2 linked regions of the Alligator mississippiensis genome follow. The protein of the gene in region 2 purifies or fractionates together with the protein of the main gene of each other region. This does not show direct contact. Links are inferred from orthologs where the notes say so. Each region holds a gene or a part of one and is shown on either strand. Other genes may lie near its edges. The genes, in order: INAVA and CYTH2.

Region 1 (10,396 bases), on a different chromosome or scaffold from region 2:
GTCCTCGGACAAAAGATTAAGCTGCCACACCCAACCCACCCTTTGTCAGCAAACAAATGCTCCAGTACCTTAACAGTCCCTGAACAGTTCAACTGTACCAGTTTCCTCAGTGTGAATGCAGTTTTCTCAAGCTTATACTGATCCAATTTACTCCCATGTAGCCCTCCCCATTTATACTCTGTACTGGATAAGGATTTGCAGTGGAAAATCTACGGCTGCCCCAGTATCTCTGCTCCTTAGCCAGACCATCCCTGCCAGCTCCCCTTCCTCTGTCAGAGGTGTAGCAGAGTGCCCAGCCCCTGGGCAACAGGGGATGGATCAAAGCAGGGCTCTTGCCCAAGAGAAGGACTTCAATGGCAGAGTCTTGTCCAGCTGAAGGATGAAGATATGAAAGAAGTCACTTGCTGGACCCAAGAACTGAGTGCCAGCATCCACATGTATTTATTTATTTGATCTGCATCCTGTCCTATCCAAAAGGCCCAGAGCAGCTGACAATATAAACACACAAATAACCTTTGGATAGGATTCCCTTAAGAGCATCCTGAAACTTGAGAACTCAAACTCCCCTCCTCCCTCCCCAACCACCTCTTCCCTGCCCAAACCCCTTTACAAGCAAAACAACCTTCCAGCCAATCTAAACCATGCCTCCCAACCACCATTTATAGCCAAATACAAGAAATTTCTTCCTACTTCCCCCACCCAATGCCCTCCCACCTTCCCCCAATGTCCCTTCCAAGCCTATGCCCCCTTTCCTATAGGTCTGTGCCTGTCAACCCCCAAAAAACACCCTCAGACCACACATAAGCATCCCAAGTTTCAACATTAGCACACGCCGTACCCTGAGAAATTTCCCATGCACACCAAACGCACCCACTATCCCTGAGTAATCTCCCCATCTGAACACTACTACATTGTGGGTTTACGGGCATAGTGGTGAGAGCCAGGGTGTTGGGGGAGCACACTGTAGGCATGTTATTAGGGTGAGGGTTAAGTTGTCTGTAGCAATCACTTCGTGGGTATGTTGGCAGGTGGTAAGGATTGAAGTGTATGTTTGAGTAACTCTCTGGATACACCAGTGCAGGATTAAGGGTCAGGAGTATAGGTGAGGTCAATTCTTAACTGTGTTCAGAGAAGGCTGAAAATGAAGGTTTAATGGGAAACATACCGGGTCATCTTGGTAGAATCAGATGAGAACCATTAAGCTCCAGTGGAAATGAAAGCTGGTCCTGTGGCTGAGATATGAGGATGGGATTCAGGAGAGCACCCCATGCCCTGTCTTCAGCCACAGCTAATCCTTGAGGCTTCAAAGAATGCTAAACACAAAACGAGCAAGCAGAATACATCTTGCCAACTGTGCAACAGGGGGAAAAAGTCCAAATGACTGCAGGTAACCAGCTGAAGCCCTCAAGCATGAGAATTGATTATTAGAGTCATTGTCTTAATTCAGACAAAGCACATTAACAACCCTTCTGTTCTCTCTGTAGCCTATGGAAGAAAAGGACAAACACAGGAACAGAGATTCACATCCACCGGGGCCAGAAGGGACCAGCCTGATCCCCCGGCATCCAAACACACACAGGTCACAGATTTTTTTCCCAGAATTTGGATCAAAGCTTGTCTTTTAGAAAGACACCTAATCTCATTTTAAGACTCTAAGCAATGATGAGTCCACCACTTCCCCTAGAAAGCAGTTGCAATGTTTAAACACCCTCACTGCTAGGAAAGTGCATCTTATTTCAAAGTTGGGTTTGCCCAAGTTCAGCTTCCAGTCACTGGATCAGGTTACCCTTTGCAAAGCCCCCAGTATCAGATAACTTCCACTACACACAGTGATCAAGTAAGTCATCTCTCAATCTTTTGTCTGGTAAGATGCATCAAGTGAGTGCCTTAAAGCTCATATCACAGGGCTTGCATTCCAGCCTCTGAATCATTTTTGCCCTTTCCCTTTGAAATCTTTCCAGTAATTCCACATCCTTCTCCAAATGTGGATACCAGCACTGGACGCACTGCATGAGTCATTGCCTCGCCATTGCTGTGTCCAGAGGCAAGATCACTTTTCTGTGTCTATTTGATATTCTCCGTTTATGCATCCAGTGATTGCATTAACCATTTTAATTGCAGCATGGGCTGAGAACTCACATGCAGGCAATTATCTACTATGATTCCTAAGTCCTTCTCTGTGCCATTACTTTCTAAGACAGAGCCACCCAACCTGTAGGTCACATCTGTCCGACTGGTAGCCTGTGGATCACATCCAGCCCATGAGTGGCTAACTCATGGCTCCCAGTCCAGGTGCTTCTCCCTTCATTTCTTCTACTGCTGCTGCCAGGGTCCCTGGGCTCCCCCTCCCTTCTCCAGCTTCCATTTCCTGCCTCCACCCCAGGAGGAGGAACAGAGCAGTGCTAGCCCGAGGGGCTCAGGGAACCTGCAGCTCAGGAGGTGCCTTTGCACTGCTCTGTTTGGAACCAGTGGCTCAGGCTAACGCTAGGCTCATCTCATTAAGCCACACATCCTCAAGCACGTGCTCTTGTTTCTGGGGTCCAGCTGCAAAAGAAGGTCTAGACAGTGACTTTCCTGTGGTGTGGTAATTAGAGCACTGTGCTGGGAAGTCAGAGATGATGAAACCTCCTTTGGATGAGTAGGTCTAGAACCCAGGTGAGTGCCTCCAGCAGTGGGCTAAAGCATGGGGCCCCCCTCCCTCCAGCACCTAACACCGGTTGTTTTACCCAGCAAAAGTTTGGGAACTTACACTCATTCATGAGCGACTGCATAGATCCACCTACCTGCCTAGCCAGCATATAGCTTACTGAGCATGCTTAATAGCCACGTGCATGTGGAGTAGTTATAAATTGTGTGCAAATGTCCAAAATGGCATTTACAAATGTGGGTAAGTACCATTGGGATATGTAAAGTGAAATAGGATTTTGCCCTTAATTTCTCTTTGACCCTATTTTCCACCTGTTGTACACGGCTAGTGATATTTCCTTTCTCCACCCCCACTCTTGTCTTCTTGGAGCTTGAGCTCTTTGTGTTAGGGACTGTCTATTGTTGTGTGGATGTTTAGTGCCTAGTGCAGTGAGGCCTTGATCTCAGTTTTAATACCTAGATCTCTGGCTATAGCTTCAGTCCTCTTCACTCCCAAAATTTCAGAGTCCCAACACAGATTCCAAAATTCACACTTGGACTTTTTTTTGTCCACTCACTGACTCAGATTTGGGTCTCAGTCACATTGGTGTGGATTCAGAGTTGCTACTGAAAACCATAGAGTTTACTCCCTATTGACTTCAATGGGAATGACCAGAATGTACCTTCCTGGAATTTGAAACTCAAATCAAAATATTGCAGGCCTGGCCCATCCTTATGATTAGTAATTCTTTGCTTGTAAGAACAGGGAGGGACTAATTTTGTGTTGCTTTCTTGTTCCGGGCCTATTACAATAAGGTCTCCATCCTGTTCAGCGCTTTCAAATGCTACTGCAGTCACGATCCTCCACAGGAGTAAATTTGCATAGCTCCACTAACACCAGCCACAACAAATTGATTTACACCAGCTTGGGTCCTGGCCCTGGGATTCTTAAAACATGTGATTCTTGTTTTGTGGGTTAACATGTAACAAAGAAGTTATACAAGTCCATTGAGAAGAAATAACCAGGTTCAGAGCCTTTCCGATTCTCAGGCAGAGACAGCTGAGTAATGCTTCACTTCATTCCTGCACTGAATTAAAAAGCCAGAGCTGAAAGACTGAAATTAGACTGGCACCATTCATAACTCCTCCAATCCTTGCTCTCTTACAATGTGAGCAAAGGACAAGCACGTTGGCTTGAACTAATAATTTCCCAGGAGTCCCGTGCGCCAGCACAGAACAAACTATTCACCTTATGTAAGTGATCTTACAGGAATAAAATTAAAAAATCCTCTTTCTGATTGGATGTCTTCTTGCAAGTAGCCAATATAAAATTTCCAGCCATCTGGCCTGAATTCATAAAGTGTAAATTGGAGTAGCCCCATTCAAACTAGTGAACTTTGATTCATTTCCACCAGCTGAGAATCTGGCCCATTGTCTTTGTCTCATCTGCCTCTCCCTCCTTTTTTCAGCCCTGGTGCTAGATGAACACAATTTCAAAATTATATTTTACAAAGCAACAAACATTTCCACAAATCTGAGGAGGGAAACCATCAGGAGAAAACTACTACCTAAAACCAACAAACAAACAACTGTTTTTGGCGACTGCAAATTTCTGCTGAGTGCAACATGTTCAAACAGCAACATCTTTAATTATAGGGGATCACCCTGCACACATGTCTCCTGTTCAAATTGCTAGGATACTTTTAGGCAGATCAGATTTCACAGAGTTCAAGTTTGTTTTCACTTACCTGCTAAAAAGCAACTAGTCCTGTAGCTGTTTCCTTCCTTTTTTTTTTTTTAATCACTCCCAAGGAATTTCATTTACACTGCTTCCATCACCCAGACTGCTGCTTTTGCAAAGCTCCCCCCCTTATTTAATTTAACTAGGCATTAGCTACATCCCAAAGGTTGAAGATCTAAAGACATCTGTCCCTGGGGCATACCAATCCCTTAGGAAAAGAGGGGGAGATGCTGGTTAGTATGCTTTAAAACTTGTTCAAGCCTCACTAAAGTAGCCCTGAGAAGGAGGAGGCATGCCAGGGTGGAGTATCATGCCTTGGATTTTTGTTGTTACTCTGAACACTGTATTGTTTTTTTAGCAGAGAAGAGAATAATGATCCTGCTCCTGGTCCCCATTTCCTGCTCAGATCCCACCAGCCCTAGTCTTAGGAAAGGGTAATTCACTGAGTCTTGGAAGTACTTCTTCCAAGCAGCACAATGCCTCCCCTGTGGTTGCTTTTCTTCTGAGAGACCCAGGGTGAAAGTCTGGAAAGAAAGGAATCAGAGAGTTTTTTTCAGATCAGCCCACAAGGAAAGTGTGCGAGGCAGCTGGCTATTAATGTTCTATTAGTGATGGATTAGCTGGAATCTGCCAGCTAGTCAGCGCACACAATGGCAAATTAATGAGTTATTTGGAAAGCCAGCTTAACTGTGTGCTACTTAGTAACTGAGAAAATTCAATACACAGGGAGCTGGGTTAAAACCCGAACTTAACAGAAACACGAGTGGAAGGGGCTGCCTCTGTCACTGCATCTAGTCCCCTGTATTTCTAAATTACCACTTTGAGAGGTGGTGCAAACACCTACTCTGGACACCTTTATGAAACATTTGGACTTTTATCTTGCTGAGATGTTTTCCCCTAGTTGACTTCCTGCTTCTTGGGCAGGGGGCTGGACCCGATAATCTTACAAGGTCCCTTCCAGCCCTAATGTCTATGAAGACTCTCCTATGAAAGGGACTCTGCTCCCTACACCGCAGAGGACAGCAAACCCCCAGTGCCTGGGCCAGTCGGTCTGGGAGCAAAAACCCTTCCTACCCCAGTGCCGGGAATCAGTGTGATTCTGAGGATGTGGACACACATTGCAATCGAATCCTTCCGGGGGGAATTCATTCACAATGGTGTGAACTGTTGTGGCTTGCACACCAGGGTGGGAGTGAGCACCCAGCCCAGCATGCCTTGCAGTGGACAAATGCTTTGGGAGTCCCAGGTGTGGCTGAGGGCCTTATCCCTTTCCTGCTTTCATTTGCTTCCTGAATGTAAGCTTAGTAATCTTTTATAGTATACCCCCCCACCATCTAGCATAAAACTTTCCATCACACACCTTAAACCACATTAAGAAACCACGTACCTGTTACAATAAACGCATCCACTCCTCAGCATCCCCGCGCAGCCACCCACTGGCCTTCCCTAACCCAATTGCTGTCCTTTAGTTTAGTCGAAGCCCAGATTTGGGGTTTACATTCTCAGTTCATTCCCTAGCCTTGTCACTTGTCAAAGCTCAATAAACTTCAATAGCCTGTAGGCTGCAGTCATTTGCAATGTGCTCACCTGACTTGGAGACAGGAGGGGAGGGCTTGGACTCTCGCTTTTTGGTTGTGGGGAGGGGGGGCAGGTACTGCCTGGGACCGGGCAGGTGGGAGGCATGAGGTTGGGCTGAAGTCAAGTAGGGAATCAGGGCAGAGCTGGCTGTTGGAAAAACAACTTTTATTGAGCAAAGAATATGCAAGGGAGCTCATTGATTAAAAAAAATAATTGCCAGCAAAAGGGGGCAGTAGGACTCTGGCTACATACTTTATTTAGTTTATTAGTATATCTTAGTAGGAAGTTACAGAGTTGAAGAGGTGGAAAGAGATCCAGAAGACCCAGGGAAGGGTAGTTGCATAGTACTGGGTGGGTGGGTACGTGGAGGATGCAACTAAGTTATGCAGAGAGAACGTAGCCTACTTAGGTAGGGGATGAGTTAGGGTGAGGGATAAGGGAGGTAAAAGCATGATGCTTACCGAGGGAATAAGATACAAAGGCCCTGTGCAAGGAAGCTGCATTATTGTAGAGTTGTGGGCTCTGAGGGATACATATGCAGGTACAAACAACAGCACGTGGAGTATAATTGCAGAGGTGATGGACAGTCCAGGTGGGAAGCAGTTTTAGCTCATGATCTGTTGGTGGGGGGAGGAAGGGGGGGAAAAAAAAATCAGACTGCTTCCTCCAAGTTGCTTCCAGCCAGTAGTTTGCTGGTGTCCACATACTGGCACTCACTCGCAATGCACTCCATGTTGATGTCCCTGGAACATCTGATGGTGTCAGACACCATGAGCTGTCTCATCAGCTTGGCACACAAGATGCTTTTGTTGCCGGGGGTCCCATGCTCCAAGCACCCCAACAATCAGTGCCTGCACCATCACTTTGCAGCCCCGTACTCACAGCACCTGCCAGCAGCTTGTACTGTCAAATTCCACTTGCAGGCTTCGACAAAGGCTTGCTGCTGGTTCTCCAATGGGATAGCAACATCAGCCATCACGATGCATTTGTTCTCCTCCTCAGCTGCAAGGATGTCTGGGCAACAGCTGGCTCTCAGCCCAGGATGGTGCAGTTGATGGGACTACACTTGATCTTAGCCAAAAGGCTGAGAAGCGATACCAGAGCAGTCGGTTGCAGTAGTGTGTGGGAGAGGCGAGAAGTGATGCAGTTTGGGATTCCTGGAAGACTGGCCAGGTTAGTGTCATAGAAAGGTGAGTCCACACACAACCACTGAATCAGTTCACAGTGCACCAGTTCAAAATAGTACTTGATTTTCCAGGCACCCTTTTGAACTGCTCCAGGTAGATTTAAACACAACACAGTTTAATGCATGTCTTTTCTATCTGTTCACTTCTGTTTTAATTGTCATGCATGTCCCCAACTAGCATCTAGTAAAAGCCAGTCAAAGCTCTGGAGTTACCATGTTTTTCTCACTGCAGAGCTCAACCTGGGGACCTCAGTTACATACTTCCACATCACACACCCCGATTTGTGTGCCCGAACTCGCCATCTTGTTCCACAAGCTGATCCAGTTCTGCAAATTTGATGAGGATGCTTCAAGCCCCAGTGCTAAGGTCACTTACAAACATTTAAATGGGATGGATGGAATTCTGTTTGTCACTGTGCACCTACATGGCCATTTCCTAGCTGCATTTTTTTGGCCTGTTACTGCGTATAACAGACATGCATGCATCAATGTGTAGACTGAGTAGGCCATGTACACACACTAGGTATGTTATCATGCAATGAAGTTTGGGAAAGGAGAAAACCCATTCCAAGTTTTAGCCCCAAGAGCTGAACAGCTAAAGCACTTACCTAGGACGCCAAAGACCTGGGTTTCTGGTCCCCATCACCTAACAAGTCAAGTCACAGTGATGCAAGTTAAAATTCAGTCACCAAAGAAGGGTTTTAAGCCTATATCACCAATTTCTCCACATAGTGCTTTAACCACCACACCATAGATTAGGTCTTTTCCACTCTTCTCTCCAGCACACCTTTTGAGGATGAGCCACCACCCCTTGCACATAATAGCCATCAACTGGAATGGTTGGGGAGCTGTGCAGGGGCTCCACATCCTCCTCTGTAGGCTGCCCCACAGAGGCCTGGGGCTCTGTATGATGTGTATGTGGTCTGGCATGTCACAGACACAACCTGGATGCATGGGATTGGAGCAAGATGCTACGAGCGTCACAAACTAGGACTCCAGAAACCGAGAATCAAAGCAGAGGACATGGGCTAGGATTCAGGCAGGAATGAGGCAGGGGATTCAGGCTGGGCAAGGACTCAGGCGGGAGTCAAGCCGAGAAAACAGGTAGCCAAGGATCATGCAACAGATGAGGGCACTCGGGCAGCCTGCAGCCAGTCCCATCCAGACTATAAGGGCAGCTTGGGCTTGTCTGGGCAGCAAGTAGAAAGAAAGACATGGTGCTAAGAGCACTGTGATGGGAAGGGGGAGAGGGGTTAGGGTGTGGGGGCAGGCAGGGGAGTCAGAGAAATGCATCTCAAGCCCTCAGGGCAAGGAGCAGCATAGATCCTGAGCATTCTGCTTCCTGGGGAAGTGTCCTAACCACTCAGTTCTTGAAGTCAAAACAGGTGATGATCCCCATCTTTTTTCCTCACCTGGACTTATTCTCAGGTACAGTGCCTAGCCTACTGCACACGCATGCATCCATAGCGCAGGGCTGATAGAATTACTACCTATGCACAAGTGCTGAAAATAGCAGTTATGTTGTTAGACGCTCACCCTTTAGGCACACCAAGGGCAATAGGGCCTACTGAGCAGGCTCCCAAGGCTAATCCCTAGAGGAACATCACTAGTAACTGCCCTCTAGTCAGACAACTCCTCCTTTAATATACCTTGCTTTAGTCTAGCTCATGGATTTGTAGCGCTGATTCTCAGCCCTTCCAGTTTGGAAAGTGATTTTCCATGAGGCACAATATCAAAAGCTTTTTCACTGCAGTCAGCTGGACTTAGCATATAAGCCCAGGTCCTTAAGTAGGGTTCTGGGTACTTGATGCCTCATCTTGCAGCAGTTCAGCTTTGGTGTAGCACAGTCTTGCTCCAACCCTGGACTTCAGTACCTCATCTTCTGCCTCATCCGCTGTATTTCTTGATTCCCTTTATCCAGCTAAGTTAGTTCACTGCATTATCCTTAACGAAGCCTATTATCTAATAATATAATATAATATTATGTCCAACTAGCATCATTATTCTAAATCTATGTTACATTTTATCCCATTTTCTACTCCCTGCCATATCTTTAACTATAATTTCACAAGCATTTAGTCTGAGTTCTCCCCCCACCCTTCCCCACCTTTAAGTGGGGCCTACATTTGCTATTTTTCAGTCATAGGGCACTATCCCTGCATCTACAGATTCTGAGTTTCCATGCTAGATAAGCCAGTCTTTTGTATATAGTTTTTTCCCCCCCAGTGTTTTAGGAGAAGAATAACCCAGACCCCCTGAAGCATAGAATTCAGCTCCACCTTTTTAGGTAAGCAACTTAGCCATTCAGTCTTTGCTGCCAAGTTATGGGAGGACCAGTAGGTCTTTTTTCCCCTTCCAGGACTTAGTCAGGTACACACACAGCCAGTGCATCATCTGCATTTTCAATGTACACGCACAGCCGGTACATCATCTTCTGCATATTCAGTGTGCACACACAGCCAGTACATCATCTTCTGCATATTCGGTGTACACATGCATTCTTACACATTGTAAGGATGGGCCACACCAAACAAGTCTTATGAAACCTGGAGTTAGCCAGCCAAGTACCTGAACCTGCAGGGAATCCAGATGCAGTTGCATCTGTACCAAAGGGGTAAAAACCAGGCAGAGTCCCATTTCTAATCCTAAACAATATCTGTGTCCAACGTTCCAGGTCAGAACCCAGGGAATCGAGAAATACAGCAGATGAGGCAGAAGATGAGGTACTGAAGTCCAGGGTTGGAGCAAGACTGTGCTACACCAAAGCTGAACTGCTGCAAGATGAGGCGTCAAGTACCCAGAACCCTACTTAAGGACCTGGGCTTATATGCTAAGTCCAGCTGACTGCAGTGAATGAGCTTGATGCTTGCAGCTGAGGCCAGGTGGCTCTGCTTAGATGGCAATCTGCCCTTCAACAGGCATCCACAGTGCAAGGGTAATAGAATCACAACCTGTGCATAGGTACCAAAGAGTACTGCTATTTAAGGATGCAAATAGTAATAGAATTCTACTCTTGTGTTATTCTCTTTGACTGCTTTATTCTCCTCTTACATTTGCTTTCTTTACTGTGTCCCACTCTTTCTTACTTCCTCCTCCTTTATAATTATTCCTCAATTTTCATCTCATACAGATCACTAAGGCATATGCATATACATATTAATCTGTATAGAAACTCTCTTATCTATTTTACATTCAGTTACCCTCCCTTCAAGTTGTAAAACAAAGATTACAAATTTTGGAGCAAATTGTGAATCTAGTTTTGCTTT
Region 2 (10,280 bases):
GCACAGCATACACTCCAGAACTAGCTGCAGTATTTCCACCACGGTCTCCCCAGTATTGGGGGAGTCCTATCTGCTCTCTTGACTCAATGCTCCCTGGCTGACAACTCCAAGAATCATGTCACTACCTTGAGCCTTGTCTACAAGCAGATGCAGTCCCACTAACACTAGCCTGCTGGAAGGGAGTCACTATAATCCCTGTGGGGTAGACAGAGTTCTGGTGCAAGCTGGTGGTTGTTATTTATCTGTCCTATAGCAGCCCTCAGGAGATCCAGTCTGGGATCAGGTTCCCATGCAGTGGTGATGTGTAGGTGGTGCACGTGCACCCCGACTGGCCGAGCTCCTTGCTTAGGTGACAGGCACGGGGGCAGGCGGGAGCACCGGTGCCCCCCCTGCGAGTGCCGGTCAGGGAGTGGGGGCACCAGGTGAAGTGCCACTGGCATTTCTGGGAGCGCTGCAGCCACTTCCCGGTCAGTGCGATTGGTCGTGGGGGGAGCACCCTCCCCCCCACTGGTTGGCGAGATTGGTTGTGGGGGACCCCACCTCCCGGTTGCTGAGTGGGGTGGGGGGTGGGAGGGGGGATGTGGCCTCCTTGACTCAGGTGGCACCAGTCGCCCATGTTCTCATGGTACCAGGTGCTATACTAATGATTTTGCCTTCCATTTCCTCCTTTCTGAAGCAGAGCTGGTGCACCAGGAAACCAGCCTTTCCCTCTCCTTGCTGCTGTTTCCTCCTGCAATGCAGTGTTGGGCTCAGCTGCCCTGCTAAGGGGTCTTCCTAAGGGTTTCTGTGCTGGTCCACAGCTCCTCCTTGCAGTTTTGTTCCCATCTGGTGCTTTCCCGTGGAAGTCTATGTAGAGGTCCCTGGAGTCCAGGTTCCACATACATCCCTGTGCCTCCTTCTCATCCTGGTGGGCTGCCAGCAGGCAATTTCTTGGCTATCTTTATCAGAGATGAAATCTTTTCCTCTGAAGCTTGGAACTTTTTGTGGGTGCTTGTTTTCAAAGTCATCTTTCTTCCTGTCTAATGTTTTGGTAGCTCTCCAGTTCTCACAGCCATATGCTGTCACCATGCTTATGCCCTAGCTGGAGTCCTGAATGTAGTTCTGGTGCTGCCTAGCTTTGGTCTCTATATGTCTTTCTGGTGAAGGGCTACCGCAGCTATCTTGAATCTTACTTCCTTTGTGAGACCCCTGTTGGCTGGGAGAGTGACATCCCAATAGGCAGGCCTCCACAATGGTTCTGCTTTCCAATGTCTTCTTAATAGGCTTCAAAGATATTTGTCTTCATCAAGATGGTCTCAAACCCCGCTTCACCTGTTTTCCTTTGGCAAGTTATTCATTTCTTCTGCGTGGTTTCTGAGAGGGGTCACTAGTGCAGCATCCTCACTAGGGCTGGAGTACTGTTGTACCCTTGATCAAACAACTGTACCATTGGGACACAACTGACACACTTTTGTGCACAAAGTGCCCTCTTGGTTGAGTTTGGTCCTGAAGAAGGGCACAATGTGCCCAAAAGCTTGTCTAACATCTCTCACAACTAGATAGCTGGACCAACAAGAGTCATCTCATCTAAGTCTTCTAGGCGTTTTCCACATAGGAACATAGGATTGCAGGGTACTCTTGGGTCACTGAGTCCCATTCCCTGCATTGTTGTAAATTATTACCCCAAGGAAGCAATCATTAACCAGGAGCCGGTGCTTGGTGAATGGTGGCAGTGGTTGAGGATCTTGCTATGACTCCAGGAGCATGGGCCGAGCCCTTCTTTGGATTTTTGCTAAAGGCCACTGCTTTGTTCCAAGTGCAAATGGAGACCTGGTCACTCAGGCTGGAGAGTCAAAATGCCCAGATGTGATACCAGCCATATTACAACCTTGGGTGCCACTGGCTATAGACATTGGTGCGCCTTAATCACATGGATAAAATCCTGGCTTGACCTGGCTGCTTCCTACTGATGCAGCTATTACCACTGCAAAGGCTGTGTCCTGATGACCAGGCAGCTCCCATCCATTTGGCTTCCGCCAGCACCCTGTCCTCTGCTGGGGAAATGCTTTACCTTGAATATTTCACTCCCTGAAAAAGGCATATTTGGGTGAAGCTATACCAGTCCTGGGTTTGCAGGGAAGTCAGTGGTGCAACATTTGTCTCACTTGTAGTAGAAAAATAACAAGAAAAAGGAAAGAGTCCAGAGGTCTGGTTTGACCCATTCAGTAAGTTCTAATTATTTTTTCAAATGGGGGCTGGCTCCAAAGTTCATTTAAACTGCATTCAAAACCCCACACACCACAAGTCCTAAATGAATTGCTTCCATTTCATGAATCAATTGACCAGTGAACCAAAAAATTATATCAATTATTTACACAGTTCAACCCCTGCCTGCTTCCCAGCATCTCTGTGATTCAGGATACCGGCTCTTGGCCCTATTACTTATGTTGGGGCAATCCATAATCTAGAACACGGCTGTGCAACTCCTGAGCAGCCAGGGGCCACACATCACATGGGTCCTCTGGGGTCCACCCCTTTGCAGTGTGAGGGTCCCTGCCCACCATGTGGGCAGCCTGGGCAGTGACATCCACACCCCTGGTACCATGACACCCACATGGAGCAGGAAGCAGAAGCAAGAGGAGGGCTGGTTGTGCTTGTGGGCCACCAGCTGGACAGCCCTGGTCTAGACTACACGAACTAAAGGAACTCAATAATATGGGTGTAATCATTGAGAACAGCTTGGACAGTGGCCCCTTCAGCACCCTCCTCTACCAAACAGCAGCAAGCCCGTTCCTTGCAAACCAAACCGCTGTCAGCAAAGGCACCTCTGGAGAGCATTTAAAGTAAAATGACTCAATGCAGAAGAGATACCAAAGCACAAGAGCAAAGTGATCAAGGCTGGTTTGGCTCAAGGAAGAGGAGAGGTAGGTCCCTATGCAGGGGTGCAGTGAGATGTTGGAATGACCTCCCAGTGACAGCCTGGGACTAAATTGGTCCGAGGCTAGAGCTTGTGGGACTAGGTGCCGTGGCCGTCTGTCACCACAGGAAGCTGGACTGGTGGATGCAGGTGGGCCCAGCCAGGCCCACGTCCCTGCTGGATTTCATCAAGGTCTTAGGACAAGCAGGCTCCCGTGGGAACACGGTAGGGAGGAGGAGATGCGTGGTTTATCTGCGAACTCATTCGTAAGTGCCCCCCTGCCCTCCTCCCAAAAACAGGGGCATCACTATGGCAACACAAGAGCATGCACCAGGCAGATGGCAGGAGCCACACCATCCTTGCTGAAGGGAGGGGAGCTGGGAAGTGAGCATGGGCAGGAGGCAGTGGCCATGTTGCTTGTGCTCCTGATGGGGCAGGAGGAGGGGCACCCCAGGGCAGGTGCTTGCCAGGGCGGGGCTGGGCCCCAATCCCAGTGCTACAGCAGCACCAGCCAGGGGAGGGTCCCTGCCCCAAGGAGTTCCCAAGCCAAGTACCTGATTGGCCTCCTGGGCCAACAGGCAGGGGCTGTGATGGGACTAAACATCAAGGGTGGGGCTAAGTGATGGGGCAGGACCTTCAGAAGGGCAAGGACCCAGCACCCCCATCATGGGGGGAGGGGGAAGTCAATGGAGAGGTTTGGTTGGGGGCAGAGAAAATGGTTCATCCCCAACCACCCAACACAGGGGAAAAAATGGTTCAATCCATGACCCTATGCAATTAGGAAGGAAATGGTTCAACCTGCAGGTTTTCCCTCCCTCAGCAGGGAATTGAATGGTTTAGCCCAACCCCCCATACATGCCAAGAAACACTCTTAGAAAAGGGCGGGGTGCAGTTCCACTCCCCTTCATATGGGAGAAAACGGTTTGCGCTGCCCCACACTAGGAATGGCACAGACCACCCTCTTCTCTCCCCTCTCCAACATAGGGAATGGTTCAGCTCACAGCCCCCTATAACAGAGAAGGGAATGGTTCATACCCCCGACCCCTCCACAGGTAAGAAAATTACTCAGTCCCACCCTCCCAGAGACCCCCCCCGCCCTCCCCCTTAAAGAACGAAATGGTTCAGCCCCCCCCCCCCCGAGCACAACAGGAATGGTCTCGCCCACCCCCTTCCAAGACTGAGGCGAACGGTCCGGCCCAAGCACCACCGGCCCCACCTCAAAGCAGGAAATGGCCTGGCCCGGCCCGGCCCCTCCTCACGGATGGTTCCGCCCACACCCCCATACAATGGTACGGCTCACCCCACGCGGGCGGGCAGGCCCAGGCCCCTACCATAGACGCCGTCCTCCATGGTAAACGCCCCAGCCCCGGCGGGAGCTTCTTTGTCGCTGCGTCTAGTCTCCTCGGCTCTCCCGTTGCAACGCCTGCTTCCTCCTCTCGTGTCCGCCCGGCCCAGCACTGCGGGGAATAGCCCGCCTCCTCCCCGAGCAATAGCCAATGGGAAAGCGCGATTCTTGCAATCCCCACCCCTTCCCACCGGCAGCAACCAATAGCTGGGGACGGATGGCAAATGAACGGGCAGTATTTAAGATTGATAGCTAGAGCAGCCAATGGGGGACAAGGGTTCGTACAAAACCTGCTCCACCGCGGAGATTGACAGAAAAATGAACCAATGAAGTATAGGAAAATTGTACACTAGTAGGCTCTGAAACTTGTTGACAGGAAGTCCGGTCATTTAGTGCTCGAGATTGCCAACAAGCCCGCCTCTGCTTGGATTAACTGTCCAAAGAGCCAACAGGAACGCTAAATAGCCAGGGGCTGCTCCTGGGCCGCCAGTCACTATGAATGATACACAAAGGAACCAATAAGAGATGAGCTTCGCTGGCCTCTGCCCTAACTGCGCCCAATGGACGGACTCGATAGGGAGCAGGCGGGGCTTGAGCCGTTGCTAAGGCACTAGAGGGGTCTGGGCCGTTGCTAGGGTCAATCCCTGGCCTCTTAGCAGTAATAAATCAGACTCATAAATAAAATACAACTATAAATAAATATATAACCCTGGGCTAAAGTGAGCTGGGAGGGCAAGGGGGGAGGGGTTGTCACTCCTCTGGCCCACCCCATGTACACCCTGACACACACCCCATGTACGCCCATATATTGCCATATACACCCCTACACACATCCCATGCATACCCCACATATACCCTATGTGCATCCCTGTATACAGCCAGCACACCCCCCTATGTACACTCCCATGTACAGCTCAAGTATGCCCCATATACCCCCTGCGTACACCCCTCCTGCCTTCCCCGATACCCCCACAGCCACCCTCGGCTGCCCACTCACTGATGCATGCATCACCATCCCACCAGCCCCAACCCCTCCACTGCACCCAGCTGCCCCCACCCCCTGCCCATCCAGCCCCCTCCATCACCCCTTCCCCTTTCCCAGGCCCTGTACCTGCCATCCCTCCCCACATCCAAGTATGTATCCCCAGCTCTCCTCATACTCCCAGCCCTCTCTCCCCAGTTTACCCCATCCCCCCTCCATTGAACAGCCCAGCAAAACTTTCCCCTTCCCAGGCCCTCAGCCTCCATCCCCACACCCCACCCCCACGCCCTTTTCATCCCCCTCCCACCCACAGCCCCATTAACCCACCAATGCACTCCCACCCTCTCCTCAACCTCCCCTACACTCCCTCCACACCCCCAACTAAGAGATGCTGGGGATCAGGTCATTTTTGGAGCACTGCTGTCTTTCCCAGTGGCAGTCACCAGGGGGCGCTTGAAACTAGCTGCAGGGGGGTGATCGCGCAGAGGGGGACCGAAATTGGCAGGGTTCTGGCCAGGGCCCTGCCTAACTTTCTTGATGGGGACATGGGGGTGAACTGCATCCCCTAGGCTTTGTAGATCCCAGTGGCCACCCTCCGGGGCTAGGCTGATGCGGTGTGTACCTGGTGTGGGGGGAGGAACCAGGGTCCTGGGAGTGCTGTGGGGCAGGAGGGAGGGGCACTGGCAGTACCAGGGGGAGGTCAAGGGGTGGTAGGGGCTGGGGGTCGGGAGGCAAGGGCACTGTTTGCAGTGGATCCTCGTCTGCACTTCCTGCCTTTCTGGTTGTCGTGCCGAGCCTCTTGTCACTGGTGATGAGTTGGAAGGAGCCCAGTGGGGAAACCCAGAGGAGGGATTAGCAGGTGGGGAGTACGAGCTGGAAGCCAGGGCTGGGTGCACAGCAGTGGATGCACACCCTGCAGCTCACAGCTGGCTGCCTGCCAGCATGGGGGTCTCTCCCAAGGTTGCTGACTCCGGTGTGGATTCTCCCCACCTTACTAGATCTTACTTAAACCTTGCTCCTCCTGCATCAGGCACTATCTGGGAGCAGCTTCCCAGGAGCAGGAAGCCCAAAGGCTCCCTTGCTCCAGACATCTGCTAAGCTGAATTACCCATCTCCTGACAGTGTTGACCCAGGCTGAGCTGTCCGGATCCATCCCCAGAGGGGGAGGGATGTGGAGGGCCTGATTCTGATCTCAGCCACCCCCAAGGACCAAGCTGGAGTCACCCCCTAACTGCAGTGAGATCAAGGCCAGATCCTGATGTCAGCTCTGCTGGGCCAGTTTGAAATCAATTTGAAGTCACACCCTGATGGCAGCAGGGTCAGGGCTGAATCCTGATCTCCCCCTGGAAGCCACCTCTTAGCGCTGGATAGTTCCTGTCAGAGAGCACCACTCTCACCCCCTCCCTGCCAACCCGATAGGCTAAGAATAGGGCTCTTGAGGGGTTATTTTGGGCGTAAGAGCATGTTCCTCTCTGGGTTTATCAGCCGGCCAGGGTGTCAGCTGAGACACCTGTGACATGGCCTCACCTTGAGAGTGTCAGGGTCTGGAGTTGGTGCTGAGAGCAGAGCGCAGCCCTCTCTGACCCGCTGTGCCCCATGGGCTGGGACAATGCAGGGGCCAGTAGGGTGGGGACCATGGGGCAGGGGCTGGGCTGGGCCTGGGGGCATGGGGGGAGCAAGTTAATAGGCCCCATTTCCCCTGCTGGGGCAGCCGCTAAGCAGCTGGGATTAGCGACTGAAACTGTGTCAGATTAATGTGAGCTCCCAGCTGGGCTCCAAGCTGTCCCTCCCTGCTCTGACCTTCACACACACCCCAGCAGCTTGGCCTGGCCCAGCCAGCGTGGTCTTTCAGTGAGCGCCCACAGGCCAGCTTGGCCCCAGCACCCCAAAGCCAGCCCACAGATGTGCCACAGCCCCCAACATCATCACCCTGCAGCCCCACATGCCTCAGGCACCTCTGCCCTATCCTGCAGCCCCACAGCTGCCCACAGTTCAGCACCTCCACACAGACACGTCACCACCCGTCATCCCCACAGCTCCCGACAACCCGTGCAAATACCTTGTAGCCTGCTGACCCCACATCCCCACTAGCCACCCTAACACCCTGTCCCACACCTTGCTCCAGCCCGCCAGCCCCACAAAGGTGCCCCAGGCACCCCACAACTCATTGGGCCCACACAGCCTCCAAGCCCTACACAGCTCATGGTCTGTCCCATGCAGATAGTCAACCATTCCCACAGCCTTCTACCCACTTCAGCCACCCCCTCACAGCCCTCTCCAGTACCAGGCCACACAGAGTGTCCATGCATTCATTCATCCCTCCCTCCCCACACATGCCTCTAGCTATCTGTCCAGGTCTCCATCTAGCAAATCCCTTGATGTAAACATGCTTCAGAATCGGCCCCTCCTGTGTGTTTTGGGATCTCAGGCCCAGACCAGAAATCACCCAAACATGCCCTGCCAATGATTGGGACAGGTGATGCCAGGGCTGGGTGTGAGCCAGGGCCCCCTGGAGTTGGGGTTTCCCAGTGTGGGAAGGCATCCAGCCAATGGAGTGGGTGAGGGGTTGGCATGGAGGGAATGAGGCCCATACACCTCATTTGGCAAGAATAATACAGACCAGAATTCTCCAAATTCTCTCTTTATTTCTGTATTTATCTGCATCACTTGGGTGATCTGGGGATGTGGGGGGCGGAGGGGGAGATCTGCCCTGACTCCCCCAGGCCCCTGCCTCTCTGTGCTACTGCACTATGGGGCTATTGACACACAGCTGGGTGGCTGCAGGCCCAGCCAGCAGGGGGCAGTGGTGCTATGTGGCTTTTCTTTAATGGCTTGGGCCCTCTCTGGACCCCAAGGCCCCCAACAACCACATCCCCCAGGAACAGACCCCTAAGCCTTGCCAGTTCCCTGGGGATCCTCAGTCATCCTAAGTGGCAGGGGAGCAGCTGGATCCAACATGGCTACTAAAGTGGCATTGTGGCTAGCAGAATGGGAGGGGGGGGAGGGAAGGGGGGGAGCTTTCAGGGGGTGCCACCCCCAGTTAACAGCATCTTTTCCCCCATTAAAAGCCAGAGCAAGACGGGGATGGGGCTGCTGGGGGAGCGGGACAGCTCAGCAGTGTCCTCAAAGGAGGTAGCAGCAATGAGCCCCAGTTACATACAGGGGGCCCCAACCCCTGACAATCCCAGGAGTGGGTGTAGAGGGGACTGGGTCTGTACAGGCTGGGCTCTGGGGCAGGGGCTGGATATTGCCCATGGGCAGGTGAGAGATGGGGCGGGGCGGGGCTGTCCCATTAGCATTAGGTTCCCCCCGTCTTCTTCGGGGGTGAAGGAGAGGAGAGACAGGCTTGGGCTCCCCCTGGTGCTCCCCTCTTGACTTCCCAGGGGAGACAGGCTGGGGGGTTCCCCTTGCCCAGAGTTCAGGTGTGGGAACCCTAGGGACCCCTTTGCCCTGCTCTCCTCAGCCACTGCTGCGTTCCTCCTCCCCCTTCTCCTCCTCCTCCTCCTCCACAGCCCCACAGTCTGATGCCACTGACCCATCATGTCCCACCGGGCATCTCCGTGGCCTCCAGGCCATTGCTTGCTCTCCCCTCCTTGCCCTTGTCACTAGCCAGGCCCCTTCCACTGCCACCACCCCCTGGCTGCTGCTCCTCCTCCTCCTCCCCCTCCTCCTCACGGCAGGCACTCAGTGCCACTTCGTTCTCGTAGCAGAAGGAGGCGCGGGTGGCCGTGGGTGGCACATGGAACTTGCGCTGCCCCAGCTCCTTGGCACTGCACTGGGGTGTGCCAGGCACCTCGTAGGTGCGGTGAAAGTGCCGGTAGTCCACCTCGTAGCGGCCACGACGTTCGAAGAGGACGGGCTCGAAACGGTGGCCCCAGCGCAGCTCCCCTGGCAAGTAGGAGCTGCGGCACTGCGTGGTCATGGCTGTGGCTTCTACCATGCCCTCCAAGATGACCACTAGCTCGAAGTTGGCGGCTGCCAGCTCGGATGGGCCGTACTCATAGAAGGGGCTGTCGCTGTCAATCTCATGGACGATGGTGACTGGTGACACCAGGAAGATGCGGTCGGTGCCATTGTCGAAACCCACGTCCACATCCTGGTGGTCCAGGGGAATGTATTCACCCTCCGGGGTCACGCGGGGCTGCAGGAAGGGCAGGGGGAGCATGAGTCAGTGGGATGAGGCAACCAGAGTCAAGTCCCACCCCTGCCACACATTTCATATACTATGCAATTCGCTGGTGAATCGCGCAATAAATTCAGACTGGCCACATGTGCAAAATAATTTATCCTGTTATAACAATGATCCTCCAGCTATAAAAAAAAAGCTGACCAGCTACAAAGTTAGTGCTTGAAAATGTGTAACAACTTTATAGCTGGTGTCTATCCAACATTAATATGAACGTGTAGCAGGGCTCTTAGTGTCCCCTGCCTAACCATGCTGGCACCCACCAGTGGCCGGGTGGGCAGCATTTGTGTCCTCAGCTCAGCCCCCCTCATGTGCACGTTCACACCCATAGGTTCCATGTTACACCCATGCACCACGCACACCCCTCCCTCCCTTGCTACTGATGTGTCCATGCCCCTAATAGACACACACATGACCTTGGCTGCTATATCTGTGCTTCACAGACACACACACTCATGGTCACTGGATCCATGCCACTTCTATATCAGCCTCCCTGCATCTGCTGTAGCTGTTTCCCCAACAGCCACAGCCACACACACACTGGATTCATGTTCCTCTCTTCACACCCAAACCCATACAATAGTCCCTGTTGCTGGATCTGTGCGACATACCCACCCACACAAAACTACTGGATCTGTGCCTAGCTTGCATGTGCGCACCCCCCCCCCCCCCTTACCTCACTTGCTGGGCCTACGCTGTGCAAATCAACCCCACCTGCTTCCATGACTCTCCCCAATGCATATGTCTCCCCTTCCCCACCAGTGGAGCGCTCTGAGAAAGGCCACAGGCAAGGACTGGCCATGGGTAGAGCAGGGCCATTGCAGAAAGATGGGGTCAGAGTAACCAGGGCAGGGGCTATGCATGCAAGTGG

The links.
Region 1: the proteins of CYTH2 (region 2) and INAVA purify together in Homo sapiens (co-immunoprecipitation; 3 studies listed by BioGRID and IntAct, counting the BioPlex papers as one, with this or other methods). This does not show direct contact. The link is inferred for Alligator mississippiensis from reciprocal best matches to the Homo sapiens genes CYTH2 and INAVA.

Annotation. Positions count from the first base shown.
Region 1 is NC_081837.1:33,170,654-33,181,049, forward strand, and holds the start of INAVA (innate immunity activator protein), read right to left. Parts: upstream 4,553-10,396; 5' UTR 4,374-4,552; intron 1-4,373. UniProt on the Homo sapiens protein: Expressed in peripheral macrophages and intestinal myeloid-derived cells, is required for optimal PRR (pattern recognition receptor)-induced signaling, cytokine secretion, and bacterial clearance.
Region 2 is NC_081828.1:38,810,963-38,821,242, forward strand, and holds the start of CYTH2 (cytohesin-2), read right to left. Parts: upstream 4,375-10,280; 5' UTR 4,247-4,374; coding exon 4,228-4,246; intron 1-4,227. Other genes in the region: KCNJ14 (ATP-sensitive inward rectifier potassium channel 14), read right to left, coding at 8,762-9,364. UniProt on the Homo sapiens protein: Acts as a guanine-nucleotide exchange factor (GEF). Promotes guanine-nucleotide exchange on ARF1, ARF3 and ARF6. Activates ARF factors through replacement of GDP with GTP.